Linked DNA regions of Caenorhabditis elegans. The protein of the gene in region 1 purifies or fractionates together with the protein of each later gene. This does not show direct contact. Each region holds a gene or a part of one and is shown on either strand. Other genes may lie near its edges. The genes, in order: popl-5 and lsm-8.

What was found.
Region 2: the proteins of popl-5 (region 1) and lsm-8 fractionate together in Caenorhabditis elegans (co-fractionation; one large-scale study listed by BioGRID). This does not show direct contact.

The regions. Positions count from the first base shown.
Region 1 is NC_003281.10:11,484,667-11,488,850, reverse strand, and holds popl-5 (Ribonuclease P/MRP protein subunit POP5), read left to right. Parts: upstream 1-1,505; 5' UTR 1,506-1,525; coding exon 1,526-1,684; intron 1,685-1,908; coding exon 1,909-2,038; intron 2,039-3,040; coding exon 3,041-3,127; intron 3,128-3,184; coding exon 3,185-3,285; 3' UTR 3,286-3,372; downstream 3,373-4,184. Other genes in the region: nars-2 (Aminoacyl-transfer RNA synthetases class-II family profile domain-containing protein), read left to right, coding at 1-445.
Region 2 is NC_003282.8:6,324,645-6,330,170, forward strand, and holds lsm-8 (U6 snRNA-associated Sm-like protein LSm8), read left to right. Parts: upstream 1-1,881; 5' UTR 1,882-1,888; coding exon 1,889-1,972; intron 1,973-2,199; coding exon 2,200-2,315; intron 2,316-4,464; coding exon 4,465-4,561; 3' UTR 4,562-4,835; downstream 4,836-5,526. Other genes in the region: sqd-1 (RRM domain-containing protein), read left to right, coding at 82-589, 667-791; Protein seu-1, read left to right, coding at 4,995-5,009, 5,123-5,368, 5,516-5,526.

The DNA.
Region 1 (4,184 bases):
CAAATTTCCGCGAATCAGATACGATGAAGCCGTGCATCTTTTAGCTTTAAAAGGCTCAAAAGTGACGGCAAAAAGTGGATTTTCGAAGAAAAACGAGCTGGATTTGGTGAAGCTTCACGACGATCATCCGATCTTTGTCACCCACTACCCAGTGGGCCAAAAGCCATTTTATATGGCTCGAGACGGACAGCTAACCCTATCATTTGATCTACTTGTGCCAGGAATCGGAGAACTCGCTGGAGGATCGCTACGTGAGCAATCGGCAGAAGAGCTTCAGCGTCGAGGATGTGGAATTGATTGGTATTTGGAGATGCGGAGGCGAGGACAGCCGCCTACCGGAGGATTTGGAATTGGATTCGAGAGAATGCTACAGTACTTGTTGGGTGTACAGAATATCAAGGATACGGTGGCTTTTCCGCGGTGGCATCGGCATTGTCAGTGCTGAAATTTTGGGATTTTTAGGATTATAGTTTTAATAAAAATTTTTTTTTTTTGCAATTTTTTTTCCTTTTTTTCCCTTAAAAATTCACTGTTTTACACAGTTTTAATATTTCTTTTTTCAGAATTTTTTTTAGAAAATCCTTAAATTTGCAAATTGGAAAAAAAACATTTTGCTCTAAAAAATCAATTTTTGTGGAAATTTCATTTTTTCACAAATTTCTCAAGTTTTGGATTTTTTTTTTCCAATTTTCAAAATCATCGGAGATTTTCGATTTTTAGGGTTTTATAATTTTTTTTAATACATAAAAATGTAAAAAATTTGGAGAAATATGTGGTTTTTTTTTCAATTTTCTACACAAATCTGGAAATTTTTGCAAACATTTATTTTGTTTTTCTGATTTTTTTTTTAGTTTTTCATGAATTTCTCAATTTTAAAATGTTCTTACACTAGTTTTCCGAATTTTTAGAAATTTGAGAAGTAAGAAAATTATTTTTTAAAGAAATTGTGTTTTTTTTCAATTTTCTTTAAAATTTGAAATTTTGATTGACTGATTTTCTGCATTTTTTCCCTACTTTTTTGGACAAATTTCGGATTTTTTCTTGAATTCTCAATTTTTTAGAACATTTTTTTCATATTTTTCTCATCAAAATCAACTTTTTTTTTCAATTTTCAAAAAAAAAAGAATTTTGGACAAATTTCGAATTTTTCATATTACGGCAGCAAAAAATTCTGAGAATGCGTATTGAGCAATCAATTTGACGCGCAAAATATCTCGTAGCGAAAACTACTGTGATCCTTTGAAATACTACTGTAGCGGCTGTGTCGATTTACGGGATCGAGCGCTACAGTAGTCTTATTTAAAGGATTACTGTAGTTTTCGCTGCGAGATATTTTGTGCGCGTCAAATATGTTGTGCAATACGCATTCTCAGAATTTTGTGATTCTGTAATAAATTGCTCATTTTTTAAAAATTCATAATTTCACATCAAATTCAAATTTTTTTTTCTAGATTTTTTTGATTTTCGACTTTTGAGGAATTTTTCAATTTTTTCTCCTTTTTCAGCATTCTCATCCAAAAAAAAAATGGTAAAAATCAAAAATCGCTACTACGTGATTCGAATGCTCACAAATGATGGCTCACCACCGACACCAAGAAAATCGTCGATTTTTCAAGAACTCATGAAACTCACGTCGGAAATGTTTGGAGATTTTGGATATTCTATTTTGAAAATGAGCCTTTCGGTACGGCTTTTTTAAAAAATTTAACATTTTGTGGTAAAAATGAAAAAAAAATTAGGAAAAAATTGAGAAACTACGGAAATTTTGAAAAAAAAATTTTTTTTTTTCAAAATTTTAATTTTCAGAATTTTTTTTTTGTTTTTTTTTAATCAAATACTAGAAGCAAAATTAGCATTACAATGTTCAAAAAATTAAAAAAAAAAAGTTTTAAATAAAAATTTTTCCAGGTTCGAGTTCTCGACGAAGACGTGATCGTACTCCGAGTGGCCGAAGGCGGAAATAAATATTTTGGAGCAATTCTTCCATGTGTTCATAAAATTGATAAGCAGCCAATGGTCTTGCAGACTATTTTCATTGGTAGAATTATTTAAATTTTTGAAAAAAATCCGAAAAATTGATTTTTTTTTTTTGAAAAATCCAAAAAAATCCGAAAAATTCTGGATTTTATTGAACAGATCCGAAAATTTTTCTGGAAATTATTTCAAAATCTGAAATTTGTTAGGAACAGGCCGAAAAATTCTCGAAATTTTCCAAAAACTCCCAAAAATTCTGATTTTTTTCAAAAACTCCGAGAAATTCTGGAAATTTTTGAAAAAATTCCAATTTTTTCAAAAAAATCCGAAAAAAAATTGTAATTTTAAAAAAAGCTCAAAAAATTCTGGATTTTTAATTGAAAAAATCGGAAAAATTGGATTTTTTTTTGAAAGATCAGAAAAATCAGGAAATTTAAAAAAAAATCCCAAAAATTCAGGCATTTTTTAAAAATATTCCAGAAATTCTGGAATTTTTTGAAGAAAATCCAAGAAAAAAAATACCAAAAATTCTGCACAATTTGAAAAAAATCTGAAAATTTCTAAAAAAGTCCGAAAAATTTTGGAAATTAACAAAAAATTACAAAAGTTGTGGAAATTTTCTAAAAATCTGAACAATTCTGATTTTTTTTCTCAAAAAATCCAAAATCCAAAAAAATCCAAAATTAAAAAAAAAATCCCAAAAATTCTAAATTTTGTTTGAAAAAATCGGGAATTTTTGTAAGAAAATCCAACAAAAAATGAAAAATTGAAAAATTTTGGAAATTAAAAAAAAAATCACAAAAGTTCTGGAAAGTTTCCAAAACAAATTGAACAATTCTGGATTTTTTTTTCTCAAAAAAACCGGTCAAAATTTTTTTTCTTTTCTTGAAATTAGAAAAAAAATCCGGAAATTTAAAAAAATCCGAAAAATTCTGCAATTTTTCAAAGAAAAATCAAAATCAAATCATTCATATTTTTTTTTGAATTCTGGAAAGTCAAAAAATCGATAAAATATCGCCGCAAATTCTCCAAAAATTTCATTTTAAAAAAATGTATAAATTTACAGGCAGAAGCATGAGATCTTGCGAGAAACGACTCATCAAAAGCCGCCGAGACGAGCTTCACGATGCTCTCGGAAAATGCACAAAAACTGGTAATTTCAGCTCAAAATCTTGCTGCAAAAATATCTGAAATTGTCGACTGTTTCCAGAAACTCGAACCCAACTTCTGGAAGCAATCCATCAAATTTGCGGTCAACCGGCTCGAATTTTCAGCGACGAGCAGCGCAAGGATCAGGCAACTACTAGCTGAAAATCGTCTGGAAATTTTAATTTTGTTATGTATAATGCTGCTAACTTTTTTCTGCAATTTTTAATTTTTTTTAAATAAAAATTTTTTTTTTCAAAAATGTTGGAAATTTTGGAATTCAAAAAAAATTGAAAAAAACGTTTTTTCTTCAGAAATTCGATTCTTTTAGTTTCAGAAAAATTCAATTATGTTTTAATAAAATTTCCTTTTCAAAAAATCGTAAAAAATTCAAAATTTAGCTACAGTAACCACACAAAAAACTTTTTTTAAAGAATTTCGGATTTTTAATAATGTAGGCGTGTAGGCATGTAAATAGGCATGTAGGTGCATTGGAAGGCATGATGCAGGCGGGTAGGCATGTAGGCGCACTGGAAGTTATAAGGTAGGCAGTTTGTAACATGTAGGCATGATATAGGCACGTATTTGCGTAGGTAGGCGAAGGTACTCATTTTGTGGGCACGCTGGCATGTAGGTAGGCATGTAGGCGCATTGGAGGGCATGATGTAGGCGAGTAGGTGCAAATGTAGGCCTAAAGTAGACATGAAAAAGCCTAGGTAAGCTTGTAGGCGCATTGTAAGGCATGAGGCACGCATGCAGGCAGAAGGCGTGCTGTAGGCATGATATAGGCATGTAGATATGGGCATGCAAAAATTTTTTAGGGGGAAACATAATTTCAATCGATTTTTGTTCTCCAGAAAAATTTAAATTTTTTTAGATACAGCTACAGTAACCCCAAACATTTTGAATTTCTGAAAAACTCATCTTTCCACAAATATTAGAATTTTCGAGAAAAAATTTATTTTTTTTCAGTAGCCATGTAGGCGCATTGGAAGGCGGAAGGCGGAAGGAAGGTATAAGGAAGGCAGTATGGAACATTCGTATGTGCTTAGTTAGGCGGTGGT
Region 2 (5,526 bases), on another chromosome or scaffold:
TCTTGTTTTTTTTCCTCGCCTACTTAAATGGCACTAAAAAGATATAAGTTCAATTGACAATAAACATATTTCTTGTTATAGGTCGAGGTAAAGCCAGCAAAATCGAGGGAAAACAAGAAGGTGTTTGTTGGAGGACTCCCATCGGACTACAGCGAGCAAGATCTTCGCTCTCATTTCGAACAATTCGGCAAGGTCGACGACATTGAATGGCCATTCGATAAGCAGACCAAGGCTCGTCGCAACTTCGCTTTTATCGTATTCGAGGAGGAGGAGTCCGCAGACAAAGCATCTTCCCAGACAAAACAGACCTTCGGAACTCGCGAATGTGACGTGAAAAAAGCAGTTCCACAAGGAAAACGGTTCCCAGGCGCCCAAGGGCGTATGCCAGGTGGTCGCGGAATGTATGGTGGACGTGGTGGAAATAACAACTCGGGATGGTATGCTGGATGGGGACAAATTGGAGCTATGCCATACGGAGCTACTGGAGCAGCTTGGGGAGACTGGTACGGAAACGGTTATTACGGCCAACAAGGTGCAGCACATCACAACAACAGCGGATCATCGCAAGGTTACGGAAGCGGATACCAGAGTTAGTTTTGTTACTATTTGATTCCATGTCTTGTGACTCATTCCACAAGGAATGCATCAGTATACTTATTCTATCAGGTTTTGCAGGAAATAACAGTGGATTCGATTACCAACAAGCTCAAGGAGCCAGACAGGGCAACAATGGCCAACCACGCTTCCAACAGCAGCCACAACAACAAACTGCTCAAGCCCAACAGTTCTAAATGTGCCTTCAGAACATCACCTCAATCACCATCTGAAATGCCTCCATCACAGTCCTCTTCAGAATTCCTGTTTCCTTCCTACCTAATCTTTCAAAAAATGTCCAAATTGTTTTGTCCTCACGCCCAGACTCAATCAAAAGCAGTTACAAATCGACCCTAAATTTCTAACGCGCGTTTTTCTTTAATTCCTTTTTTGGCAATGACGATCTGAGATGTGTTGTTCCCGAGGTTGAATTTTATATCGAACCAGTTTGTTTTGTTTCTCTGATTCTCACCCAAACTATCATCGACTCTCAACTTTTTTCCGTTGGTAATCTTTGATTTGAATAACTCCAGGAATAATAATAACATACTTTTGTTGTTTTAGATGATGTTCTTGTGAACATAATACTTTATCCACCCGCCTTTTTAGATGTGTAGAAGTACTTTATTTCCATCAGTTTTTTCAGTCATTTTTTGTTGTTTTAATTGTTTCGCTCGTTTTTTCTTTGAGCGATTCTGCGGCAGAAAACAAACTGTATTTTTACTTCTCTTCCCTAAAGTCTGTATGCTTCGCCCCCAATTTTTGTCTTTTAGTTGTTGTTATGGTGCTTTTTCCTTTGTTCAGGAACTGGTAACCAATTAGACTGTGCAATTCACTGTAGTTGTCAAGTATATTCACATTGAATTGTGCAGTTAGTTGTTAATTTCCCTCATCTCATTGAAGTGTATCTGATGAATCGTCAGGTGTCCCGTCTTCGTCTAATCTCACAACACCCAGCCACCCAACAAAAGCTTCTCCCTTTTTCTCCTTCGTTTTTTGCCAATCTCACCCGTAAATTCGCTCCCAAAAGCCCCCCCCCAACCGATTCTAATAACTGCCTCTTCGTTTGACATGTTATTTGTTGTCACATTCGTTTTTAATGTATGATAGATTCATGTCAAACATTTGTGTTGATATTAAGCTGAGAATGAAATTTTTGAGGACTAGTTGTTCTTATATTATCATTAAATTTTTATGCTTCATGAATTGAATGCGAACAGGTGGGTTGCCGTGAAAAATATCTCACTTGGGAACAATAAACTTCAATATTTAGAAGTCAATTTTCAGATAAAATATGACTTCAACTCTAGATGCGTACATGAATCGGATGGTGAACGTGGTCACTGGTGATGGTCGGGTTATCGTTGGACTTCTGAAGGTAAAATATCTAGAAAGAAATGTTGCTTCTGCACTTGGCGACAAAGGTTCGAGCCTTTGTCAAGAAATTTCAAAAATGCAGCACATCTTGATTATTATAAAACACGAGATTTTGAATCCCAACTTTGAAGAAATTGTTCAAAAAGACTGAGCTTATGTGTCGGATTAAATAATTAAATTATGTTACCTTTTAAAATTTCAATATTTTATTCAATTATACAATTTTAGGGATTCGATCAATTAATCAACTTGGTGATTGAAGATGCTCACGAAAGGTCGTATTCTGAGACGGAAGGTGTGCTCACGACACCATTGGGACTATATATTATTCGAGGAGAGAATGTGTAAGTTGAAAATTGACGGGACATAATTTAAAAATCGATTTTACCTTGTCACGGTGCTCTGCTTTTGGAATTTATAGGTTTTCTGCGACTAAAATTAGTTGTTGATGAAGAGTTTAGAAATGTCTCTTCTTGAATATCTACTTCATTTATTCCGATGAATTTTACTTCCGAGTTCCCGTACCACCCAATCCGTGGGTCAAACGATCAACAAACCCTCGAAAACATTGGACTCGGCATGCTTTTCCTTCCATTCCGTGCACATTATCGAAAAACTGACCAATTGTTTCAATTGAGTAGTGGCGGAGCCGCCTGCTTCAGCAAAGAAGCTCTTGATCATGTACGAGAGTGTTAAAAACCAAGACAGTTTTTATTGCTCAAAATCCATGGTCTTCTCTTGTTGAGAGGAGATGTTGGACTTTTAATAAAAGACCGGGTACAAATGTTGAACATTTGGAGCATTTTATCTGGATTTTTTTTTCACATCGCCCCATTAAACCTTATAAAAAGCTTCACATCGCCTTGCTTGTTGCAAATTCGCTCTATCGCCATTCTTCAATCTTTTCGAATCTAAAAACTCGTTGGTCATTATGTACTCTCTATTTCACCCGGTCTCTCTCTTCTGTTCTTTCTTTTGGAGTGCTCTACGGACCAATTGCTTCAAATGAATTATCGATTTTTTAAATTGTCGCGTTAGAATAGTTTCTCTGTGTTAAAACAGATCGACCTAATTTCAATTATCATCAAGAGTTTTTTTTTCTATTCGATTCAATCTTTTCCGATGACATTAATCATCCGTTTTTTATAATGTTGCACCCATGCGATGATAAGATTTAATTGTGGTCGTTGACTATCAGTGCTGAGAATGGAATTTTCTCGTTCAATTCACTTCAAAACGGGTCAATGTTATCATCTCAGAAACATCAAATTGATTTTACTTCATTTCTTCCAGTTGAATATTTTCTATAACGTTCCGTCGACATACCTTCGCCAGTCAACATTGAGTCATCATTTAAAAAAAAAAGAAAGGTGCAAGTAGTCCTGGTACCTGATGTTCTATAACAACCAGATCAAGTGCTTCTGTTGTTCCTTTGATCATTCAGCTTTCGGCAGCCGTCTAAAAACATAGCAACTGGTCGTTTCTTGTGCTCTGTTACGGTCGGAAACACGGAAAAGTCGGGGAAGCATGACGTGTCAAAACATCTCTTCCAATCGTTCGGCATTTTCTCGCCCTCAATCACAATTTGATGCTTGACCAATATGATTGCCCGAAGCCTTGCAGCAGCACCAGCAATTTATTTTGTTTGTACTCTTCACATTTTCGCCGGCAACAAAAAAAAACAACGAAAGAGGGAAATAGTTATAGTGAACGAGAGAACGAATACGAAAATGGACAACGCGATGGGAAAAATGTTGAAAAAGTATCCGTTTTCCTATTCTATGTCGGAGCTTCACAACTTGCTTACTAGGTTTTCAGTTTTCAGTTTTACTTTGTCGTTTCTATCTGAAAAGCGCTTATAGTTAAAACATATTCAGTTAAGTTCCAAACGAACTAAAACTTTAAAAAAAAAACTCCTCGTTGAGCGAATGCGATTGATTATTTTATTGAAGTCTCTAAATTGGCTCTTCCAGTCTCTGTTCAATACCTAATTGTTTTCTGATTAGTTTCATTATATTTATTGATTTTTCGTTTCCGATACACCACTCTTCTCTATACTCCACTCCAAATGTCAAGTGATAAATACTCATATTTCGAAATAGTTTATTTTTGGATAGGATACCCCTTCTGGCCCTATTCATGTCCCATTCAAAACACAATTTTATGAAATCTTTTCTCACTTTTCGTCAGTGTAATATAGCTGGAAAAGATTAATGTAGACATGCGTCAAATGTCCGAAACTTTCACAATTTCACACCTTTCAATTCATTCCGTTCGAACTTTGTTCAAAGAAAATGTGATTCCATGAAAAAAGTGTTCGGAACCTGTTCTGTTTCCCTCTGGAGAGGGGTGGAGAAATTATCGGAACACTTTTTCATTGCAAAAGTTGAAACTAAACTTTTAAAGCTATGATGTATATATATATAAAGACCAATTCTGCAACTACTGTAGATTTTTCCAAATGTTTCTTTTTGAAAATCTATCATTTTTCAGAGCGATTATCGGTGAAATCGATGAAGAACTCGACAAACGCGTTGATCTGGAAAATGTGAAAGCGGCCCCACTTGCACCAATTTGGATTCCCCAATAATTTCCACACAAATCGATATTCTGCATTGACGCGTTGTATTGACTGGTTATTCTCATCGTTTCCCCCCACCATTTCTTCTCCCCATTTAAATCATTTTTCCCAAACTATTCTCCATTCTTTTCTTGTTTCCTTGACGGTTTTGTATTCATACCATCGTTTCTTTACCATTTTTGGATCTCTAATTTCCTCTCAAATATTGTGAAAATTTATACATATTTATTTGCTTTGTTTTTAATAGTTAATGTATTAAATATGCATTTATTCAAATTGCAACGTCATTGTATTTTTTCGTGTTTCAACCGTTTGTTTATCGGTTTAACATTTCTTTTTTTAATATCGTTTCCTCGTTGAACTTTGCCATTTCACAGAAATAACCTTGCAGAAAATATTCCAGTGCTCGATTTCAACGGAATATACGGATCGAAGTTGCAAAATGAGCAGTATCAGAGTGAGTTAAATAGAATGGGGAAAGGATAATTTTGAACAAGAGTTTTTGCGCGTTTTTCAACTTTCCTACCAGAATAAAAGCATAAAGTAAAAATCGATAAACATTTTTTCCAGAACCAGAACGACAATCGTCGACCAACATTCCGTGATCATCGTACACCACAATTTAGCGGTCGTGGTGGTAGTGGTGGTGGCGGACGCCGTCTTCAAAATCCAGCTCATTATCCACAACGCAGAGATATGTCGCCGATTCGCAGATCTTCAGCAATTTCACCAGTCAGACGTTCACAGGATCATCGCCAACGTTCGCCTGAAGTTCGACGTCATCGATCACCGGAAAAGGAGTCAAAAGACGCAGTGGTTGGTAGATTCACACTCACACCCAAAATATCTCTATAGTAACCTCTTCTGTAATGGAATTTGTTGGATTATTGACTGAAACTTATCCTCCCCCACCGATTTCTTCGGGGGCTGTATCTTGAAACGCGACGAATCTCATCAATCTAGGTCACATCGAC